4 linked regions of the Drosophila melanogaster genome follow. The gene in region 1 interacts genetically with each later gene. Each region holds a gene or a part of one and is shown in the gene's direction. Other genes may lie near its edges. The genes, in order: Dg, Sdc, l(2)k09848 and tw.

Evidence for each region.
Region 2: of Dg (region 1) and Sdc, changing one enhances a phenotype caused by changing the other (phenotypic enhancement), as found in Drosophila melanogaster (one study listed by BioGRID).
Region 3: of Dg (region 1) and l(2)k09848, changing one enhances a phenotype caused by changing the other (phenotypic enhancement), as found in Drosophila melanogaster (one study listed by BioGRID).
Region 4: of Dg (region 1) and tw, changing one enhances a phenotype caused by changing the other (phenotypic enhancement), as found in Drosophila melanogaster (one study listed by BioGRID).

What each region holds. Positions count from the first base shown.
Region 1 is NT_033778.4:16,095,146-16,100,795, reverse strand, and holds the start of Dg (dystroglycan), read left to right. Parts: upstream 1-2,231; 5' UTR 2,232-2,668; intron 2,669-5,650. Other genes in the region: CG8414 (uncharacterized protein), read left to right, coding at 1-1,102, 1,161-1,426; mRpL34 (mitochondrial ribosomal protein L34), read right to left, coding at 1,495-1,717, 1,781-1,803.
Region 2 is NT_033778.4:21,477,685-21,483,378, reverse strand, and holds the start of Sdc (syndecan), read left to right. Parts: upstream 1-2,202; 5' UTR 2,203-2,365; intron 2,366-3,000; exon of another isoform or gene 3,001-3,022; 5' UTR 3,023-3,195; coding exon 3,196-3,288; intron 3,289-5,694. Other genes in the region: Sara (smad anchor for receptor activation), read right to left, coding at 1-186, 336-1,154. UniProt on the Drosophila melanogaster protein: Cell surface proteoglycan that bears heparan sulfate. Required for axonal and myotube guidance, is a necessary component of slit/robo signaling and is required in the slit target cells.
Region 3 is NT_033778.4:6,073,337-6,078,420, reverse strand, and holds l(2)k09848 (lethal (2) k09848), read left to right. Parts: upstream 1-2,053; 5' UTR 2,054-2,162; coding exon 2,163-2,250; intron 2,251-2,306; coding exon 2,307-3,357; intron 3,358-3,420; coding exon 3,421-3,541; 3' UTR 3,542-3,950; downstream 3,951-5,084. Other genes in the region: CG7849 (uncharacterized protein), read right to left, coding at 388-998, 1,048-1,260, 1,316-1,445.
Region 4 is NC_004354.4:782,651-789,062, forward strand, and holds tw (twisted), read left to right. Parts: upstream 1-2,095; 5' UTR 2,096-2,254; coding exon 2,255-2,364; intron 2,365-2,439; coding exon 2,440-2,523; intron 2,524-2,583; coding exon 2,584-2,668; intron 2,669-2,737; coding exon 2,738-2,842; intron 2,843-2,896; coding exon 2,897-3,005; intron 3,006-3,066; coding exon 3,067-3,848; intron 3,849-3,918; coding exon 3,919-4,159; intron 4,160-4,223; coding exon 4,224-4,372; intron 4,373-4,435; coding exon 4,436-4,874; intron 4,875-4,988; coding exon 4,989-5,182; 3' UTR 5,183-5,466; downstream 5,467-6,412. Other genes in the region: fz3 (frizzled 3), read left to right, coding at 1-352; CG13360 (uncharacterized protein), read right to left, coding at 5,467-5,877, 5,942-6,253. UniProt on the Drosophila melanogaster protein: Rt/POMT1 and tw/POMT2 function as a protein O-mannosyltransferase in association with each other to generate and maintain normal muscle development.

The sequences.
Region 1 (5,650 bases):
AACAAGAACTTTACACGCGCCCAGCTAGACAGGATTAAGACCAGCTTTCAGCGTCAGACGAATGCAATAGTACTGCTCCACCGAAACACAAGTGCCCAGCAGCTCGTCGATACCTTTGGCAAGCACATGGCGCAAAATGTATTCCCACTTGTCAATTCTTCCAATCGACCATTTGGCCAAAGTGAAACCCTGTTGCACTGTCTGATTCAATCGAGCGATCAAAGTCGCACTCTCCAAGTTCCGCAGGTTTGGAATAAGTTACAAATGCATGCAACGAGCCGAATAATCGTAGCCGGTGGTAAGGGCGTCGGAAAGTCTAGTTTATTGCGTTACCTCATCAACCGAAATCTGGGTCAATTCCCATCCATGCTGCTCATCGACCTGGACATTGGTCAGCCGGAAATATTTGTACCCCAGACTATTTCTTGCACCGTAATTGATGAGCCCCTTCTGGGACCGGGCTTCCTGTACAACAGGCAGCCGGAACATGCCATTGTCGTGGGCCACACCAACATTGTCTTGTGCGCAGAGCAGTATGCCCGAGCAGTTATTCAGCTAGTCCAAAACATTCAGAACGATGCCAAGTATTCAAATATTCCTTGGCTGATAAATACGATGGGCTATAATAAGGGATTTGGTATCGAATTGATGGCTCTGCTGGTGGATCGCATTCGTCCCACGGATCTTGTACAGATTGCCAGTCCCATTCCAATCAATAACTTTGATTCTGTCCTCGACCGGAACAGTCTGTCGCAGATAAAACCAATTATATACTCTGCGGAGGAGTTCAAGATCAATGAAATACCAAAATACACACTCCATAAGCTGATAAGTGCAGTGCCTGCAAGGGAAAAAGGAACTTGGAGTCTCAGCGCCAAGGACATGCGGTACTCCAATCTTCTGGCACGTCTCAGTTCCTGCCTGACTGGAAATGCCAAATCTCTTACAGACTGCCAGCCGTTGGGAGTGTCTTTGGAATCCCTGAAAATCCTGCATCCCACCAGCAAGAATTACTCGCGCGAAGAACTGATTCGAGGCATGGAGGCTAATGTAGTATATCTGTGCCATCACGGAGCAGGTCTGCCCCAATGTTTGGGAATAGGTTTGTACACATTCACGTTCTTTTGTGGCTTATTAATTGAATTCCAAAATTCTTTTAGGTGTGGTTCGCGCCATCGACTACGAGCGCAAGGAGTTATACCTGGTGCCAGCAATGCCGCTACAAAAGATGTCCCTGGTGGATTGTCTTATCCTCGGCGGGGAACAGTCCCTGCCGCAGGGCTTCCTTCGGGATCAGGGCCAAGGTGTGTCCAGCAGTGTGCCCTTCGTGTTCATCCTTGACGATTCGAAATCTTCGAAGAGTATTCAGCAGATCTACCATCGAGCGCCAGCCTTTCTGGGAGTACCAGCGAATCAACGAAACTAAAACTGAGCTTACTGTAGCAATCGCAATCGGATAACATTGTAAATAAAGTTAGGTTTATTAACACAAGGCTAGTGTGACAAATTGTGACGTCCTTTGAGGATCCGGTTCATCAGCACTCGTCGTCCCTCAGGCGTCGACATCCTAGCATTCCAGCCGTGGACATTAATTCTCTTCACCTCCATGGGTTTCGGAAAATGGCAGCGTACTTTCGGTTTCAGCACCGCCCGGTTGAAAGCGTGCTTATCCCGCACGATTAGAGTTTGTGCGGTGCTGACAACCGCCAGGCAGGTCCTGCAATGCCAATGTATGTTATTATACCACTCAAAATAAATGGTATATTCATTATTTACTCGCCTTTGGAGCATTCCTTGCAGCATGTTAAGTAATTTCCAGTTAGTATGACCGCATGAAGTCCGAATAATACCGCCTGAACAGCCGGTAAGCCGCTTTGGCGTTGCCAGACCATTGGGTTCGAAATTTCGAACTTAGCTGCATGCTATTTTACGTTAGCATGTAAAATGCATTACATATAGATGGAATCATACAATTAATCTAAAAAATCGTCATAATATTGGTCAAATGGAAAACCACCATATGGGGACAAATTAGATAAACCGCTTTTAATTGAATGGATCTGAAAGTAACCGAAAACTTTTTAAATATGGAATGAATATGTTTGGTTGTACATATATCGAATTGGTATTGTGCCATCTCTAGCTACCCACGATGGTTGTGGCAGCGCAGCTGTTGCAAATGAATCCACAAGATACATTTCGGTATATTTTCCGCAACGGATTCTTTTCCACCCTCAGTTGCGGTCACACTGCCTAGCCAACAACAACCACAACTCGGTGCCGTTAGGGCTGCGTTTGTTTTCTGCTCCCATTCAGCTGCATAGAAAAGAAAGAAAAGTGAAAAGTGTTCGGAAAACAGGCAGCATGTGAAGCATAATTACTCCACGGAATTACTATCTCAAACGAAATAGTTGTCGCCGAAAAGAAGTGCGTAAAATCGCGAGTGAGCTCGTGAAAATAGAATAAAAAAGCGCTCTGCAATTGAAGAGAAACATTGCTGCAGTCGTGTGTACGTGCGTGTGTTTGTGCGTGCGAGTGTGAGTGTCGCTCTCTGGACGCAATTTCTTTGGCCAAAAGAGTGGGGAAGTGGGGCAGGAGAGTCCCGAATCGAATCCCCGAAACAGGCAATCCGAATCCGAATCCGGTGCATTAAAAATAGCGCAACGAGGTGAGTAAAGATGCAAACTGCAGCATTCAGTTCACGAGCTGATGCCAACAAAAAGAACTCCAATTAGCCATGTCTGCAGCCAGCCAAAAAAATAATGAAGAACGGCAGAAAAAATACAACAAGAAAATCGATTTTCCTGAACTTACAATTTTCTCCGCCTCACTGGGCAAAAGGGGGGGCGAAATGGAGCTTGGGGAGCCGGCTACGGCTCCATAAAGTATACATAAATTGAATTTCGAAACACGGAAGCGAAATGGATGCACTGGACGAAATAATGAATAAATTATTTTGATATCGAAAAGTTATTCTCGTTAGAAAAAGTTTCGCTGAGGGTCTCGAACGCAGTCTGTTTTTATAAAAGCATATTATTTAGCCTTATCAAGCAAGAGGATGAATAAAATTGCATTAAAATGTATTTCGACTAAATTTCGACTTGCTATACTTTATTTCTCTGCGTGTAAAAGGGGGCAGGAGGCTGCACACGGCTGTTGTTCTTGTTTTGTTTGCTGGTGTGGATGATGATGGAAATACTTGCATATGTGTGTGCGTTCTGCACAGAGGGAGATGTAAAAATTGAAAAATCTGACCAGAAGCAGGACCCTCCGACTTTTGGTCCAGTTGTCATGGCCACCGCACTTAACAAATGATTTTAGCGGCCACTTTTTCCCGGATGCGAATGGGGCAGCTGTCACTCCGTTTGCCTCCTCCTCCTTTTCTCCTTTTTCTGATTTCATCTGTCTGCCCCTTTCTATCTTGCTCTCTCCCCGTGTTCTCCAACGTGTGTGTGTGTGTGTGCGTATTTTGATGACGGCACTCAGTTTCCGCCCGCACTGTGATTTTTGGCCATACACGGCACCAATGTTTCAGTACAGTGGAACCTGGTGCGCAGGAACCAAATGAAGTTAAGTTTAAAACTGCATTTACTGCGACCATTTATGAAATTTTTTAAATGAGTTACATTTCAGGTTCTTCTAGATTTGTTTTAATGTGAGTAAACAATTTCTGCTTTAAAACGTAAAACTCACATGTACATAATATACAATTGTTGGCAAAGCAATAAAAACTTATTACTACCATAAAAATAAATAGGTCGACATTTTCAGACGCAAGAACGCATAGAATGTGTGAACAATACGTACAATAGCTTATTGACACAATATTTAGCATTCAGCGGATTAACTCATCAACGTTGGTTTTTGATTGAATGTGTTATATTATCTATTTATGTACATATTATATTATATAATATTTCGGCATAGGCTTTAACTAACTTTATGCTTGCCACTGTTTAAACTGGCTTGGTTTATCATACGTTTTTCCCAATTCGCGAGTGCCTACTGTAGAAAATCCCCGGCATTACCACTCAGTTTTCGGCACTCTTTTGCGGATGCTGCGTACGCAAAAAGGGGACGTCGGCTGTTCTAAGAGGACTAGATGTTTCCTTTTCACTTCCGCCAGCACCCCTAAATTACGTGTCTCTGTGTGAGTGTCTCTGCACGTGTGTGTGTTGCGTGCAAGTGTGTTTGTGTGTGTGGGCCAACAAAATTACTTTTACGAGCATTTAGCATAGGTTGTTGTCCCTTCGCCCATTTCCCCGGTTTCCCTTCGCCACCAGTTAGTTTTATTTTGATGCGTTTTTAATCAGATTGCGTCAATTTGTTGCTGGCCCAACGATGAGGGCGGTCCCGGTGGAGGGGGGGGGCGTTGGGATTGTCCTATTAGCGCTTGTGTGGGAGTGAGCGACCATTTCCCGGGTTGCGTGTCAAGTGCAGACCCTTTTTTCGCCCGCTTTTTTCACTAATTATAAGAATGTCTGTTTTGGCCTCGCATCTGGATGATGGCTCGTCATTGGGCTTACATTCTCGCTTTTGATGACTCAAAACTTAACTTTTCACTTTTGCAGTTCTCTTTGTGGCACCCACGCAATTAATTGGATTGATAGATTGAAAGCCTTTTGTTTTTAATTTTAGCAAATTAAATGCAAGAATAATACTTAAATGATTATATAGATATAAACTTTGAAATTTGATTATGATAATATGATAATATGAAAACAACTTGTGCTGAAGGAGAGACAGCCGAAGTTTAGGCACCAATTTGCCAGCAAAAGATAACAAGAATTCATTGAATTATGTTTGTTTTAACCAGTTAGGTTATGCATTCTTATGTAAAGTTTACCTTTTCTATAAACTGTAACTGATGTTAAATTTCATTTTTTGTATTCGTTAGTTAGTTAGTAAGGGGATCAACACTTCGTTGTTCAGTCGCCTTGTTTTTCTTAGTACCAATTCTTTTTGCTTTGCGCTTCTCCGTGGCCCGTTAAAGTACAGAAATACTTGGCCAGGCCGGCCGGAGTGCGAGTATCGTATCTATCATGGCGGCAGCTGTCCAATTCTCCAACCAGCCGGCACTGGATCGCTGTTTGTTGTTGTTGCTCTTGTATCTGCTGTCTGTCGTCTTCATCAACGCCTTAGTATCTGTGTTCGCTTGCTTATTTATTTGTGTGCGAGAGTGAGTAAGTGGCGCTGTGTGTGTTGTTGGCTTGAACTTTATGGCATTGCGTTGTTTTATGTTTGTTTTTAGCATTGGCCTGTGTTGCTGTTGTTTTCTGTTATTGTTGCTGTGCTTACTGCAAGCACACATAGACAATTTAACGAAACATCGGCGACAGCGAGCAGATATACAACAGACGGCATCATTATGCATGCAACAGATCTTGGAGCTCATTTGATCGCCAACTGCGCGCATGGCTCCCAACGCAGCAGCAGCAGCAGCAACAACAACTGTTGCAACTCCAACGCCGCCACCATTTGGCCAAAATGGCGGATGCCCTGCCTGTCCGTCGCGCCCCGTATCCCCTTTTTGGCGGATGCCCTGCCCAAGACCTCAAGTCCCCAAGCATCAAGTATTAGTTGCAGACATCGGCCCCACGCAAAAATATTTTTGCTCTTACTCCGCAACTCAGTGCACTGCGAGAAAAGT
Region 2 (5,694 bases), 5.4 Mb from region 1:
ATCTGCATCCATCTCTTGCAGCATGCTGTCCAGTTCGGTGTCCGAGATCTCGTCCATGGTGGAGCAGAAGGTCAACGGTTGACTACGCCTGGGATGCTGCTCCTGTGGCAGCTCCACATCCTCTTCTTCCGTTTGTACTGGCTGCTCCATCTCTTTAGGGACCGGTACTTCCGCAACAGATGCTGGCTGAAAATGTAACACCATTATTAATAAACTATACTATATGTCAAGATAGTTTATAACCTTAATTGATTTATGAAGCTGATAATATTTTTAAACTAATGCGCTACACTTATTAGTCATTTACACAAACAAAGTAAGGTAATAGTACTTACTAAATTGGCCAATGGGACATCTATGCCGTTGGTCATTTCGGTTTCGGGTTCTCTACTGGGCGACGATTCCTCCGAGAGCTCCTCGAGGACCTGCCCGAGAACAGACGATGCGGTGACCTCCTCCGGCAATAGGGATTGCGATTCTGTGCCGGACGCAGTGATGGAGATGGATGACAATCCAACTGCTAACTCCTCTACAGTTTGTTTGGATTGCGTTGGCGGTGGAACAGCCTGATCTTGGTGCTGGTCCTCATGCTTGACCTGTTCCGGCTGTTGATCCTGTTCCTTTGGCTCCACCTGAACTTCACTCGTTTTCTCATCTTCGGGGGGCGTTGCTAGCTCCTCCGAGTGACTGCCATTGCTCACGGGCGACGGACCCGACGAGAAGGTGGAACAGGATGAGGTGGTCAGCGATTCGGAGGACGATACTATCGTCTGGCCGTTATTTTTGGACGCCTGTTCGCTGAACTTGTGGATGTCGTCTTCGTGTTCCGCCTCCGTTTGCCAGTCGTAGCTGGGTAATTGGGCATCCACCTGCAAGGACTTCACATTTTCCCTGTAGTCATCCAGGCTGTTGAAAACCTGAGAGACGCCCACAAAGGACTTTCCAGACGCCGGTGTTGGTGTTACTCCCGCAGCTCCCGATACTCCGGCGCCAGCTCCAACTCCACTGATCGATGCACTTGCTCCGTCGCCCAGAAAACGGCCAGGATTTGCACCTGCAGCTGCTGCTGCCGCTGCATTTCTACTCAGCTGCTCATCGGCGGCAATGCTCAGTTCCAGATTGTCCAAAACCTGATCAATGTCCACCAAGTCCATGGCCACCAAATCCGCAGAAACCTTAAATAAAATTGAACCAACCAGGTTTATCTGCTTGCATTTTCACAAAAACGCAAAAGAGAAAAAACAACACAAAAAGATGTGGAGAAAAAACGGTCTTGTGATTCATACCTTTTTCACACCTCGAATATAGTCATAACAAGGCAATGAGGAAAACAAGGACGTATTCGCCTTTAATAAGCAATATTAAGCACCTGCAATCACCTTATTTACTTTGTTTTCTTCTCGCTAATTTATTAACAAAAACTCGGTGACGAAAAACATTGTAAGAAACTGCCTAAAAATAGCCATGGAAACAGTGTTGCAAAGACAAAAAAAATTAAGTCAAATTAGCACCTTTCTCATTTAGTATTTTATGATGCTATCTCGTTCTATCTTTCTCTATAATCTGTTACTGTTACAATGTTAACATAAACCGTAACACCTTTTCAAATTTGAAAATAATAATAGGTAAAAGCTGTCGGGTCCTACACGAATATGAATGCTTCAATTGTTCAATATTAATGCGTATGAATTCAAACAAATCTATTAACATTGGGTCTGGGAAATTTTAGCCGCCAGTCTGTGTTTTTAAAAAAATGTTGGGTTGTACAACTGAACTAACAGTATCACAGAATAACAGTGAACGTACGAGCAACCGAAACAGTGTAAATCAGTGTAACCGCAGCTTAGCTCAAGAAAAATACTATAAGCATTTAAATATGAAATCTTGCCGATTTAAATGAATTCAAAATGTTAATTATATTTGATTGAATTATTATTTGCCTATCAAACATTTAATAATTCTATAATAATATCTTAAGCAAATCATGTAAACAAACAGTAACATAAGAATAAAACCAAAAAAATTCAAGATGTTAAAGTAACATTTTTAATCGCGAAATTGTAACAGAAATATATAAATTTTAAATGAGTACGCGTTTCGGAGTGTCTATTTAAGTCATCACCCAGCTAAGCATAAGAATTGGTATTTTTTAGGAAATGCACAGCTTGGATAATTGAGTCGTTTCTGCATCTGGTAACATTGGCCAAGTCATTCGAAAAAATTTTACGGAGCGAAGAAGGCACGGTTACGTCCGGATTTTAGCGCGATTTCGTGTCTGTTGTTTGGTCGGCACTCGAGTGTAAAGAAATTTGTACATCCCCGAAAAGAATCGCGAGTGCAATTTTGTAAATACGGAGAGGAAAAGGTGCGCAAAATAGCAAAAATAAATGCAACGAAAATAAACGCAGCAAAACAACGGGCAGAAAGATACGAAAAGAAGAGGCAGGCGAAGCAGAGGAGAAAAGAGACACATAAAGAAGCCGCCATAGCGGCGTTAGTGGGAAAGAGAGGGCGCGAGAGGAGACGGAGAGCGAATACGAATGCGTATGGTGTAGTTGTAGTGGTGGGCGGTCGTGTTTTTTTTCGTTGAAAAATCTCTGGATTCAAAGGGAAAAACAGAAAAACAAAAGGAAAATACAGTGTATTATACGAAAAATTTGTTAAATTTTATGTTTTTAAAATTATAAATTACAAAAATCGAATTCGATTAAAACACCCACACACACACCAATACACACAGTAGTTGCGCTGTTGTCTCCTCTTTATTTTTGTGTTTTTCTCTCTGCGTAAACGTTTTGTTTATTACCCCCGCTCTTCTACTTCCTTTCTTTGATTTTAGCCGCGCGCGCATACGATAAATTGTTGTTAATTTTACAGTGTGTAATGCTTAATTAATACCCTGTCTCTCCAACCAACGCTATCTCTTTTGTTTTGCAATTCGATTGATAACACATCGGGAATAGTGTGTGTCTGGAAAATAAATAATCATAATAATCATAGTTTCATGTGTGTATTTAAACAGCGTTCTTCTAGTGTGAAACCAGTTTAAAAAGCTGCAAGAAATATATATAGCTCAATATATATATTTATATATGTGTGCCGCCGCCAGTTCTAATCTTTAAATCAATAAACAAAACTGGAAGCCATTAGCTGAAATCACAACAACAGCAACCGCAGAAGAAACCAACGGGGAAAATGAAGCCAAAGCAGAAGATTTCCGTAGAGCCGCTATTGCTAGTCGCAATTCTCATCGGAGTTCTGGTAGCCGCCACCCACGCTCAAGATCAGGTAAGATCTCAAAAATTACACCCGAAACTACCAAATGTTATTAGTTTACGTTGAGATAAGCCAAAATCAATGGCCAACTTCAAGTTTACCTGGCCAACCGAAATTTAGCCGACTTTGTGATAATATTAATGTGGCTTTAATGGCCATTGAATGCTTATTCATATTAATACGTCACACAGCTTGATTAATTACGAATGGGTCATTATTAGACATTGCTATCCTTTTGTAACGACATACACATGCCCACCAGTTTGGGCACAAAGTGGAGCATTTAAGTGGCCCCTTTCAAAAGCATAGTTGCGTAAGCCCATTGCTGCTTGTAACTGCTTACCAATTAAATCGAGGCAGATTCAATCAGCAATCCGAACTCCCAATTTTCGCCACCTTGAGAGGGTTCGGAACTCCAAGTTCGGTTCGATTTCTTGTTCACTTCAGTTGTTTTTGCGGTTTGCGGTTGTCCAATGCTGTTTCTGTTGTTCTTGTTGTTCTTGTTGTTGCACTTATCATGCAAAATTCGGCAGCCCCAAGGTGGATACATGTGTCATATACCCATGTACCATGTGGCAGAGGCTTGACGGGCAACGGGCATGGGCATGGTCAATCTCCAAGGCATTGCACTGAATGCAATTTGTGGCTGCAGATAATGAAGAGGAAAGGCCTCCATGTCCCGATGAATGTAAGCCGTAAGCTTCTGGCTCCATTGCTCCACTCCTTGGCTTCTTGTAGAAAAGACATTAAAAACGTCTGCATTGCGAACGCATAAATATGGCAGTGAACTAGACGCACAGACATCGGCACTGTGCAATATATATATATAGATAGTTATACATAGATATAGATATCGATATAGAGGACGAGGCGGCTGCTGGTCAAATAAGGCTGCAAATCCGAAATGGTCATCGACTCCAACGCATCGCATCCAGCCATCCATCGATGTTGTCGACTGTTACCCATTAGCGATGAGAGATGAGTGCCGCCACAGAAACAGATATGCCGCCACGTTCATATGGGGAATGCTACTCGGAGATATAGAGATGATTCAATTTCCGACGAATTCCTTTCTATTCGTCTCTCGTGCTTTCTTTAATCACCTGCTCTGCCCAATGAGATCATTTGGTGTCTGAATGTGCTGTTTTGAAAATTGTTTACAGATTCGAAACTGGCCTCTTTGGTGTTTTCCACTCATCACACAGTATTTTTGTCATTAATTGAGTAGTTTAATTTAGATTTACCGATTGTAAACTCTGCTTTTAAAGGGTGTTAACTTAGCAAAACCGGTTAAATTAATGGGCAAGTTGTGTAAATTGCTTAAAACAATTGCCAAGTTGACATTTATGTATTAGTGAAGGCAAAAGTTGGATTTAAACTGCATAATTTCACTTAAATTCTAAAAACTAATTTGAAGACTTGAGTTGGATTACTTATCAGCTTTTCTTGTTATCTAGCGCAATTACTCACATTAAGATTTATTGGCTGATAATAAAACCAGCTAATGAATCAGGCCGCAAGCCCAAAGGGCAATATTAATGTCTCCTTCTTATCTTCACCAAGTATTTTATGTAATTTAGCACATTTATTACATTCCGTGCTTTCTTGTTAGTTAATTATCCGAAATTAGAAGTTCTATTGAGATACGGTAAAAATTTAACAGCCAGTTTTCTTCATTTTCCGCAAAGAGTTTACAGTTGCATTTTCCACAGCTCATCACTGGAAAGCACTTCTTGATTTGGGCCTGGGTTCTGGGCCAGTTTTTGATACAACTTCTGCTACTGGTCACGATGATCTTTGGCATCGTCTGTTGCCAACAAAAGCATCCGGCTATTGCCAATTTCGATGGCTGTGTTTGCCTCTTTCACTGCCTGTTTGTTTGTTTGTTTGTTCGCTTGCCTGTTGGTTTGTTTGCCTTTATTGGTGTGTGACTTATTGGCCCGAAAAATTTCTACACACACTACTTGCACATAAATAGTGCGATGGCCTTTTACCCCTTCGCAAACGCCCGCCCGCCCCTCTCACCCATCTAAAGCAGTCTGTAATCTTGTTTTTGCCGTTCCTTCCATCTTGTGTCCTGTTTTTGGTGTTTGTCACTTGTTTTTGCCAAAATTGGCATTCGTGGTTATGCCCCCCTCCTCGGCTCCTTCGTAGCTCCTTTCCCTGTCGTCGAAAACATTTTGAGAACGTGCCCGGAAAATTGATGAGCAGCACGGCGAGAGATGGCTATAACTTCACCGGAAAGAGGGTGCAAGTTTAATGGTTGTGACTGCTGCAAGTGCCACACTATCTATTTTCCGTTGCTAGCTGTTGCCTCATTTACAAAGTTGGCATAAATCCATTATCTATGGCCATATCCTAATGTCCCTTAATACGAGCGTAAAAACATTTTAATTTTTTTTTTTTAAACATTTTAAT
Region 3 (5,084 bases), about 10 Mb from region 1:
CTTAATGATATTGAGCACCGAAGAAATTAGTTTACATAATTTGGAACAACTGACCCTTCGATGGGTCGAGGTTATCAACTATAGCAATCTCCCTTGTTTTTAGAATTAATTCAAAAAAAATTTGTGAAATGTATGGTTTTTGGCTACCGCTTCTAATAAGATCACGTTTTAAACATCTTACTTTTACTAAACTAGAGTCTTACGTTTTTTTTTTATAAATGACCTATTTTGAACTGTAACCGTCAATAAACTATGCTGACTTAAATAAGCAGATATTCTGCATATTCTTATCAAAAATTATTACCAGAATTATTGACCTGATTGACTGCTTTATAGTTTATCTGCCTATATTTATTTGACTATATTCAATTACAATGAATTCCTAAATTAATCTGTAGCTCGCAGTTCCACTCGCTGTTGTCGCAGAAGCTGTGGATGCGCCCTCAGGATGTCACGTTGTTGACGGAGGTTCTTGATAATTCCTGGCAAGTGCCAGGCGTGTCTGAGCAGACTATCTGTCACATCAAAATGGGCATGCCGCACGCAGCGTAGTTGGGAGCAGTGCGCCACGGTTCGGAGGTCCAAAGCCATATCGTGCACTAGCGTAGCTAAGTACTCCTGCGTCTCGTTGATGGCGTGCAGTTCCAGGGTGAAGTGCGGTCGATCGAAGTGAATCAGCTTAATGCCGTAGACGACGGGCTGACTGTCGTCCGCTGGGCGTAGGAGACCCCTACAGGCCAGTTCATAGGCCTCCTGGGTCTGCAAATCGACACCGCAGAGCTCAAACATCTTACGCTGATGGGATGCCTGCATGGAGGCGGCTAGACTGCTGATCCTGTCTGCGGACACGTGTCGGTGATTGGAGCGCATTATGACCCGTGAGTCTGGTAGGTTATTTTCGGTTGCGATGCCTAGGTGCCCGATTAGATGGTAGACCCGCACTGGTCGATTTTTCCGAATAGAACTAGACTGGCCTGCTCCCCTGTTGATCCCAAAGACTACAAAAGTATGGTTAGATCTGGATTTAAAATGTTTTACATGACTTACGCAGGACTCCGCTGGTGTGATCGCCCAGGCTGGACACTGTGGTGCAGATCAAGTCTCGCGGAAGGTACCGCGGTCCGGTGGACAGAAGGTGGTCGGATAGATCCGTCTGCTCTCCTATGTTATGTAGTACGTGATCTGCTGCAGTGCCTGTGCCCAGGAGGCTAATGTTCTCTTGCAACTTGCGTGGTTTCCTCTGCTCCATTTCGTTGAGTCCTTTTGCAGATCTGTTTTTAATTTCAATTTGTTCTTTAAATGGCGCTAGGCTTACCCTTGCAAATGTTGCTCAGAATAGCATTGCGCACGTGTTTCACCTTCATACCGGATGGCTTGTACACATTTAGAATGCCATTCATGTGCTTAAACACTGTGGCGGCATCATAAACTTTGGTGAGAGCCATTTCTGCTTTAAGTTACGTATGTGCGCTATTTGTTTTTAAATTCACATGACAGTGTTGGTGAACACACACGAACAGCTGAGCACATGTGCTGCCCAGTACTGAATAGGGTATAGACATGCACTTGAAACTTAATTTATAAAATTTACATATAAAATGTTGTTTTCAAATATCTCTTTAATTTTCTAAAAAAAAGTTTAGTTGGAAATAATTCTCAAAACGTTGTGGTCTTTATACCCGCAAAAAAACATGCTTGTATCACTGCAAAACAAGAATTAAGTCCACCGCACGAAAAAACAAGAAACAAATCCGATTGGGCTAAAATTTTCTATAAATTTTACAAATTTCACGGGAATATTCTCACTGTGGCTTGCATACTATTTGCTTGCATTTAAAATGACAACAAAACTGCACTTAAAGAAGTTATAATCAAATAAAGTCTTATGCGTATCACTATATTCTCACAAGAGAAGTGGTTTTCAACGAAAAAAATGTTTTAAACTGGTAAACAGCAAACTGAAGCCTAGTGACTACCCTAAATGTTATTAAAATATCGGTGGCCGTTAGATATCGATATAAACGATAACATCGATTATTAAGCATATGTCTTTTACATCTCTATTGCACGTGTAGGATTTGTTTTGACCGCACGAATTTGTATAGCCGCATACCATTAATTCACGTTTTAATCGCAAGTATTGAGAGAAACCGCGTCTTGAGATGAAGTGGACTACTGCAAATACCAAACATGTAAACTACACGGCGAAGCACGAACTGTATGTGGGAACACACACGGGCTCCTTTAAACGTACGTCCGCTTGTTCTTTATCGAACAGCATAATAATAATGACTTCAACTTTTTAGACCTGGTGCCTGCATCCGAGAAGACCCCTTATGGACAAAGCAACCTGAGTGATCTGTGCGCCCTGGATAAGGATTCCCGCGTCACATCTCTGGCCTTTGGCAACGACGATCAGACGGAGATCCTTCTAGGCCGGGCCAAGGACGCCGTGGAGATTCACTCCTTCACAGAAAAGGGACATTCTAGGAACACAGTATCCTTCAATGCTGCGCCAATTGTTGGTCTGGCCCGATACAATGACAAGCTTATTGCCGGCATTGGCAACGGAGAGATACAGAGCCTGGAGCTAGAGGCGAACGACGAGTCCGAGCCCGTGGTTATCGCCACGGGTGACCAAATGGACCACCTGCGCCAGTGCGCCCAAGTCAAAAGCATTGTAGCAACTGGCGGCAAAGAGCGTCAAAACAATCTAAAGGTCTACGATTTAAATGCCGACGGTAAGCAGATTTTCACCTCGAAGAATTTGCCCAACGACTATCTGCAGCTAGAGGTTCCGGTTTGGGACAGCGATATCGGCTTTGTGGATGGGCCTAGTGTACTGGCCACTTGCTCGCGAACCGGCTATGTTCGCATCTATGACACGCGTAAGCAGCGTCGACCTGTTGCATGTTTTGCCAGCGAGGAGCACGGGATGAGTTTTACGACTTTAGTGGCAAAGGGAAACTTTATTTACACGGGTACCACAATGGGTGCTCTAAAAGCCTTTGACACTCGACGCATGAAAACTCATGTGCATACGTACAAGGGATTCACAGGCGGGATAAGTGACCTTCATTTAGATGCCACCGGTCGCTTTCTGAGCTCTGCAAGCCTAGACCGATACGTTCGTATCCATGATTCCGAAACCACAGTGCTGCTCTACCAATGCTACGTGAAATCAAAGGCCACTAAGATTCTTATCCGACCGTTTGAAAACGAGGCACGAGTAACAGAAGAACCTGAGGAGGTCGCTGACCTTCAAATGGATAGAAACGTGAGTGAAAATAAGAGCGTCAACGCAACATCTGTGGACAATGAATACGAGGATATGTTTGATCAGATGCCCACTGTGGGGTAAGTTTAACTACATATTGAGTGATTTAATAATACGCTAAAATCTTATATTTTGGCCAACAGTGACAGCGATAATGAGTCCGAGGAAGAGATGTCTAATATTAAGCTTTCAAAGGCCGATCTAAAAAGAAGATCGTCGGAAAAGTCTTTAAAAAACAAAAAGAAAAAAGTTGTGATTAGTTAAAGCGACATGTATTTACGTATAAGAATATTAAAGAAAAAATAGTATAGATTTCGGTGGTTTTTATATTAAAGAACTAACAAACATGGCATCGTAGGTAGACACAGAGCTGTTTTAAAAAAGTTTCGTTGCATATTACATTCTGAACTGACTGTCGAGCAAGGGAACATGAGGTGCGTGCAAGTACTTAAAATAAATTATATTGTAAAGATGGAAGCAACAAACGTCGACTGCGATTATAGTGTTTTACCCCCAGCATAAAAATGGATTCGTGGCCTTCCTGTCATTTTTTCAATGAAGTGTTGGGTCTGTAAAAACATTGCAGCTTCTGCAGTCTAAGATAAGGTGTTGTTTATTTCCTATTTCTAAAAACATAATTCTCAAAAATGTTGGCTTTGGGGGACAGTAATGTAGGAGGCAACCTCATTTAAAGAGACGACTCTTGCGGTTCACCCTTTCTTTTATTTATGTTATGTGGAGTCGTGGTTTAGTGGCATTTTAATGGGCTTATAGTATAAGTATCTTATCCCTACTAGAGGAGTATCTTACATATGTTTAAATATTTATTTACACTAGATAGATGTACGGCAACGGAGAAAAATTAATATTGTAGCCATCAATAGTTTGGTATTATTCATCTTAAGTAAGCTTCTGTAAAAATCGTTTTGGCCACATAATATGAGATACACATAATATCATGTGTGTAGTATCTGAAGACATATATACATATGTTTGCCTATAAACTCATATTTCTCATAAACTAGAATTAAATGTTTTCCTGAAAAATGCAATATAGATTATTATAAATGCGTTATAATAATAATATTTCCCACTCGTTTCTAGATAAACAACGGCTTTGTTTTAAAAATTTAAAAGTATAAGAAAATAAAGCCAGAGCTCCTGAATTCATAATATGTTAAACAACAATGCTCATTATTTTGAGTTTAGGAACATAGTTGAAATTTTAATTCCATCAGATGTTCAATTTAAAATTTAATGTTTAAATGAACATTGCAGCTACTCGACCCGAAAAGCCAGAAAATTGCCCAGCAACGGAGACATTAAATCGAAGTTGGAGTCGCGAGATGGCATATTTTTGAATTTGGAGTGATAATTCCTTACCTAAATTAAAGCATGAGCTTTGAGCTCTGCCAAGTCCTAAAATTTCATTTGAACTACATCAGACTAAAAACTTTTAATTTCTTTTTCGAGCTAAAAGTCGAGCAGGTTAATACTAAGATACCAGCCAGCCAACTTCGAAGCGGTTTCTAACGCGAACACGCGTCCTGATTCGATAAGGCAACTCCCATCTTCCAACCCCGGCTGGACGGCCTTCACGGCATGCACACGCACTCGGAATGGTGATGCCGAATTTCGTCCTGGTATCATCTTTGGCATCTTTTTGGGAAACTGGTTCGGCGTGACGCAAGCATAGGTCGCGTGCTGATTGAAACTTGGATGTCAGTGGAAAACCTGGCCGACGAAAAACGATGGGGCGACTAACACTACCAGAGCTCCGCAATCTTTTAGCTTAAATTTTAATTTC
Region 4 (6,412 bases), on another chromosome or scaffold:
GTACGCGGATTCAGTGCCCAGCTGCTCCACACCCGATGACTGCCTCTCACCCACTCCGCTCAGTGCCTGGCCAGCGTTGGTCCGGATCTTCTTCCAGCTGGTGGGCGGAACGTTGACAGGGTTGTGGGTGTGGTCGCGCAAAACCTGCGAGAGCTACAGAAATCGGCTGGGTGCCAGCGGCACACCCACCTCATCCCTGATGAATCAAAGCAAGGCGGCCGGGGCTTTGCCCAAAAAGCATTTGTATACGAGTGGGAAATCCATGCTGCCCACGGGGGGAATCACTCCTCTATATGCTGGTATTAGTTTTCACAATGTGCCCGTCTACAACCCCAACCAATCGAGAGTTTAGGGGATCTTTTAGCCCACATGGGGGGCTCTAGAAAAATCTCGAACTCTACTATTGTACATATAACATATACATACATCATAGAAGGCTTTGAGCCGCGGTGAGAGAACATGATCGAACATACGCCTAGTTTTTAAGCCCGAAAAGGAGAAACTGAAATGTGTTAATAGCTTTATAGATCGCGCTCCCCCAAGTACCCATCACCTCCAGTTTTTATTAGTAGTTCTCTAGCTAGTCCTAAGCCTGTAAATAGTAAAACGTTTTATTCATAGTAGAATGAATTGTAAATAAATTATATGAATCAAAAATGAATGTCGTTCAAAGTGGGCTCCAAATGCATTAGGAACTCAAGATAAGCAAGATAACCACTGCGCGTTCTCACGGCATCTCCGTCAGCCACAAGGCTCAACACTTCGCAAGCCCCATTTACTATATGTGGGTTAATGATGCAAAAGTTGTCGCTGCAATGAGCTAAGGGATGGATGGTGGGTAGGAATTCCGACGGATCGCTTAATTGCAACAAAATGGCTAATTTAGTTATGCTATTGTCTGCGCTCCGAGCCGTGGCAATTAGAAGGAAAATGCTTAATGACAGATCTCGACGTTGGTTGCCATCGGTTGCCGACTGGTTATGCTCCGCCGCACCTCCACCTGTGGCTCTGCGTATTCTTTCCCCTGTATATGTTTGTACATTTTGCGGACACTCCAACTCTTTCGTATGCCATTCAAGTACCACCTGTATTCGGACCAAGCGAAATATGGTGGACCTAAAATTATCAAACATGGTGGTCATGTTTATAAATGAGTAAATTACCTAAAAACTAAGATTGTTTTTTTTACTTAGATGGGATGTGACACCCTAACACCCGATTCTTTAGCACAGACACTTTCCCTGCTCTCTGGATGTTTGGGCTGCGTCAGAACACGGGTAATTGGTATCAACCGAGGCACAATTAATTTGATTGAAGCTGCCACACCGCATGCCGCTCCAACGAACAACGAATCCATCCTACAAATTGCCGGCCGTCGTGGCAGGCAACAAGCCGAAACACTGCGGCAACATCGGCACAATAGCAACAGCAACTGTGCAGCAAGCGTGCAATTAACTCTTGTGCGCCAAGATCAAAGCGATTAATGCGGCCCCAAGTTCCCAGACGAAGGGACGGAGGCCAGGGCATTTGGAGCAGCGAAGGGCAAGGAACGGAAACCAAGACAGAGACGAGATGAGGCGGGCGTGGATGGGGGAAAGGTATTCCAAGCCTGGTCTGGCTTGGTCTGTATCGTCATTTTCATTCTCGTCTTTCTGGGCAAAAAAAATATTATTATACGAGGGTCCCATTCCTGGATGAAGTCGCCTAAACATCTAATAGGCCTTTAAGCCAGACGTTCAAGAGCATAGCCATAGTAAGCATAGCCAGTGTTGTTATCCTGGCCACGAAAACAAATATGTAGGTAATATCTGAATGCATTTTCCATAAAATCCCAGAAAATATATATATTTTACAGCATTTTTGCGATGTAGATATCTGTAAAGATATTTTTACTATTTCACTTTTGAAAATATTGCATACTTTTAAGAGCATTGCTACTGCTTAGTACCTCCTGTATCCACCAGATTCGCTGTAGATGTTACAGAAAGTCTGGTAACAAACTGGTTAAAGACCCGTCTTGGCCCAGATTTATCGATAGCGAGGGCGAAAGCAGCTCCCCGATATTGTAAGCCCGATTTGTTTGGTCAAAGCACAGCCAAAGCCAAGTTGCAGACCTGCAGACCGGTTTTGGCCAAGAAAGAAGAACGAAGAAAGATCGAGTCGGTCGACCAAAGAGAAAGCATGATCGGTTGGTTGTTGTTGACGTGTGCACCACTCTAAGAAGTGTTTCAATTTAAACGGCCAAAACTATATAATGGCAGCAAGTGTTGTTAAAACCCCCAAGTGCCCCAGACGAGGATCTGTCAAAGATGTGGCCCAAAACGCACCTAGAACAGCACCCACATCTAGCAAAGAGGCCAATTGGTAAGCGCAGCGAGATCAAAACAAAAGAGAATTTTAGTGAAATTCCTCAAATTCCTCCAAAAACCCCAAAAACAGGAACTGGTGGCTTCTCCTGGCTACCGTCTTCCTGGTGACCTTCGCCACCCGCTTCTATAAGGTCACCGAGCCGGATCACATATGGTAACTGAACCACTTTTGAAAGTGACTCGCCGGACTAATAGTTACTTATCTTTTTTCCAGTTGGGATGAGACGCACTTTGGCAAGATGGGCAGTTGGTACATTAACAGAACCTTTTTTTTCGATGTCCATCCACCGCTAGGAAAGGTGGGATACTGATAATACAATACTCAAGCAAATTAGGCTGACCAATTTAAAATGTTTCCAAATAAATAGATGCTCATTGGCCTCTCTGGCTACTTGACGGGCTACAATGGAACGTTTCCGTTTGAGAAGCCAGGTGACAAGTACAACGAGACGCGGTACCAGGGCATGCGATATGTACGTGATTACAATACCTGTGAACTGCGTCCTGTTAATTGATCTCACCCACAGTTCTGCACCACACTGGGAGCTCTGATCATGCCCATGGGATTCGATACTGTCTACGATTTGACCCGTTCCCATGAAGCTGCCTTGCTTGCGGCTGCCTATCTTATTTTCGGTTAGTGTAAAGACGTGTGCTAAGTTAACCCTCTTATTTGCCTGCTATTTTCTACGTTCAGATGTGGGGCTCTTGACCCTGAACCAGTACATCCTGCTGGACCCCATTCTGTTATTCTTCATGATGGCCTCCGTCTGGGGCATGGTCAAGGTATCGAAGTCCACGGCCTCCGGAGGATCGTACGGTCTACGCTGGTGGCTCTGGCTCTTCCTCACCGGCACCATGTTGTCCTGCACGATTAGCGTTAAGTTCGTGGGTCTGTTTGTGGTGCTGCTGGTCGGTCTGCATACAGCCACTGAACTGTGGCTCATCCTCGGCGATTTGGGGCAGCCCATTTTGGAGACTGTTAAGCAGTTGGCCTGCCGGGCCATCACCCTGATTGTCTGGCCCGTTCTCCTCTACATCCTGTTCTTCTACATTCACCTGAGTGTCCTTAACCGCAGCGGCAACGGAGATGGGTTCTATAGTTCGGCCTTTCAGTCCAGGCTGATCGGCAACTCCCTATATAATGCCAGCATGCCCAGAGATGTCGCCTACGGATCGCTAGTGACAATCAAGAACCACAAGACGGGCGGAGGCTACCTGCACTCGCATCATCACCTGTATCCCAAGGGATCTGGCGCTAGGCAGCAGCAGGTTACCACTTACACCCACAAGGACGAGAACAACAAGTGGCTAATCAGGCCGCACAACAAGCCGGGTCCACCAAAGGGCAAGGTACAGATCCTCCGGCACGGGGACCTCGTCCGCCTGACTCACATGGCGACCAGGAGAAATCTGCATTCCCACAACGAACCTGCACCCATGACCAAGAAGCATTTGCAGGTCACAGGCTATGGCGAGGTGAGCACCAACATATTTTACATTTTAATTGGCTGGGAAAGCTCATGTGGTATACTTCGACGAACTTCAGTTGGGACTAGGCGATGCCAACGACGTCTGGCGCGTGTTGATTGTGGGCGGCAAGGTCAACGAAACGGTACACACGGTCACTTCCCGTCTCAAGTTCATCCACCTGCTGCAGAACTGCGCCCTGACCTCCAGTGGGAAGCAGCTACCGAAATGGGGGTTCGAACAGCAGGAGGTGTCATGCAATCCCAACGTGCGCGACAAGAACTCGCAGTGGAACGTCGAGGACAACGAGCACAAGTTGAGTAAGTAAATACTACTAAAATACTTCGGCTAATATTCAATTACTGTCAATTTATTTCCGTACAGTGCCCAGTGTAAGCTTTAGCGTGTATGCGCCCGGCTTCTTTGCCCGCTTCCTCGAATCCCACGCCGTAATGCTGCAGGGAAACGCAGGACTCAAGCCCAAAGAAGGCGAGGTCACCAGCAGACCCTGGCAGTGGCCAATCAACTACAGGGTGAGCATAGCAGAAACAAACAATATTCGGTCAGAAGAAGTAACACTTTCCTTTCCTATCTAGGGCCAGTTCTTCTCCGGCAGCAGTTACCGCATCTACTTGCTGGGAAACCCGTTGATTTGGTGGAGTAATCTGGTTTTCCTGGCCCTTTTCGTCACGGTTTTCCTGTGCAACGCAGTTGTTCAGCAAAGAAGAGCTGGCTTCGCCCGATCGGCGGCCCAAAATCAAGCCCAAGTTCCCGATTCGGAAACAGTGGCCCAGGACGAGGAGAGTGAGCACTCCACCACGGACATCTGCAGTTGTTGTACTCCGGCGAAGGAGATAGTCCCAAAGGCAGTTCCCAGTGGGTCCCCGGAGGCACCCAACCCGGCGCAGTCCTTAAGGGCGGCCGCCTGGCTTTTTCTGGGCTGGATGCTCCACTATTTGCCCTTCTGGGCGATGGGACGGGTGCTCTACTTCCACCACTATTTTCCGGCCTTGATCTTCAACTCCTTGCTGACGGGTAAGCAGATAGAAGCTGTGTCAAACTTCATCTTTGTTTAAAAGCAAATTAATAGTGCCTAATAATTCCTTTACCGTTTGTCATTTTAAACTGTTTTTAAATAATTTCACACAGGCGTTATGTACAACTACATTTTGAGGGTTCTGCCCAAATGGATTCACCACGTTATCCTCGGACTGGTTCTCTCGATCCTGGTGTATAGTTTTGCCGCCTTCTCGCCACTTGCTTACGGAATGAGTGGTCCTCTAGCCAACGAGCCGAACTCTACAATGTACAATCTCAAGTGGCTTTCTACCTGGGAGTTCTAGTTAATATAACCTTAAGCATTTTGTGGTTCAATAAGTGTTTTAATAATCCTTTAAAGCTCCAGAACATAACTCATATGCATCTTTGTGAAAATGAAAACCCCAAATAGGCAACTATTTATTATTTATGAGTAGGTATAATGATTAATTTATAGAATACGCTTAACTCTACGTACTGTTTACAAACAAAAACAAAAAAAAAACCATTGGTAAAAGTAGCAAAATTCTCGATAAGCCTAAGTATTAAAGGATCTGGGGATCCGTGTCCCACGGTCCTGCGCTACCCATCAATCGAATATTCCCAGGTCATCGAAGCGACGCAGGGCGTAGCGCAAGGTGTCCGTGGTGCGGGGATTGGAGGAGAACATCAGCTGGACCTTCTTCTTGGCGAAGTCCTGGTCCGACAGCGCCTCTATGCTGATGTCGTACGAGTCCTCCTTCTTCATGGTCACCATCGGCAGAAAGGCGTAGGACGAGAAGAAGCCGTACAGTTCTCTGGCCCGGATCTCCTGTTGAATATCCGCGTAGCTGGGCACAAACGCCGAGTGCATCCGCTCCAGGCTGTCCCTTAGGGAAGCGTAGTACGTCTGGATAAGGAACTCGCGCCGGTGGATCAACACGTCCAGCTGGACGCTGCTGTTTAGGAAGAAGTTTATGTCGCAGCCTGGGCTGCCGAAGAAGCTGTTTTGGAAATCCACCTGGAATTGCATAGAGCCCACAGTTAGTGTCCAGAATTACAAATGATGGAGTCTAGACACTCACGAATATGGCATCGATGGGCTTCGTGGGCTGCTCGTCGTCGTATTTATACATGAAGTTGTTTACCCACAGGTCGCCATGATTAAGCACAGTGATCTCTCCGGGCAGCGGCCGCCCGGTGGTCACGAGGTTCTCCTTGATGTTGTCGCAGTGGCGGTGCAGCTTCTCTGCCAGCAGCTCGTAGCCGGGCCACTTGGAGACGACGTTGGCCAAAGTCCGGCACTGGAGGGTCATGAAGTTGATGAATCGCTCGTTGGTTCTGATGTAGTTTTCGTCCAGCATACCGGTGGTGAAGTGCTCGCGAACACTTGGTTCCTGCAAGAGAGTCCAAGCCAATAAAATAAACATGAAATCAAAAAACTAAGAAATTCCTGCCAACTTTACCCATTTCTGATTTTGATTTGATATTTGCTTTAAGATGGCAAAGAGAGAGTGAAAATGTTTGATTGTTAAATGTGTTTTTATAAACTGAAA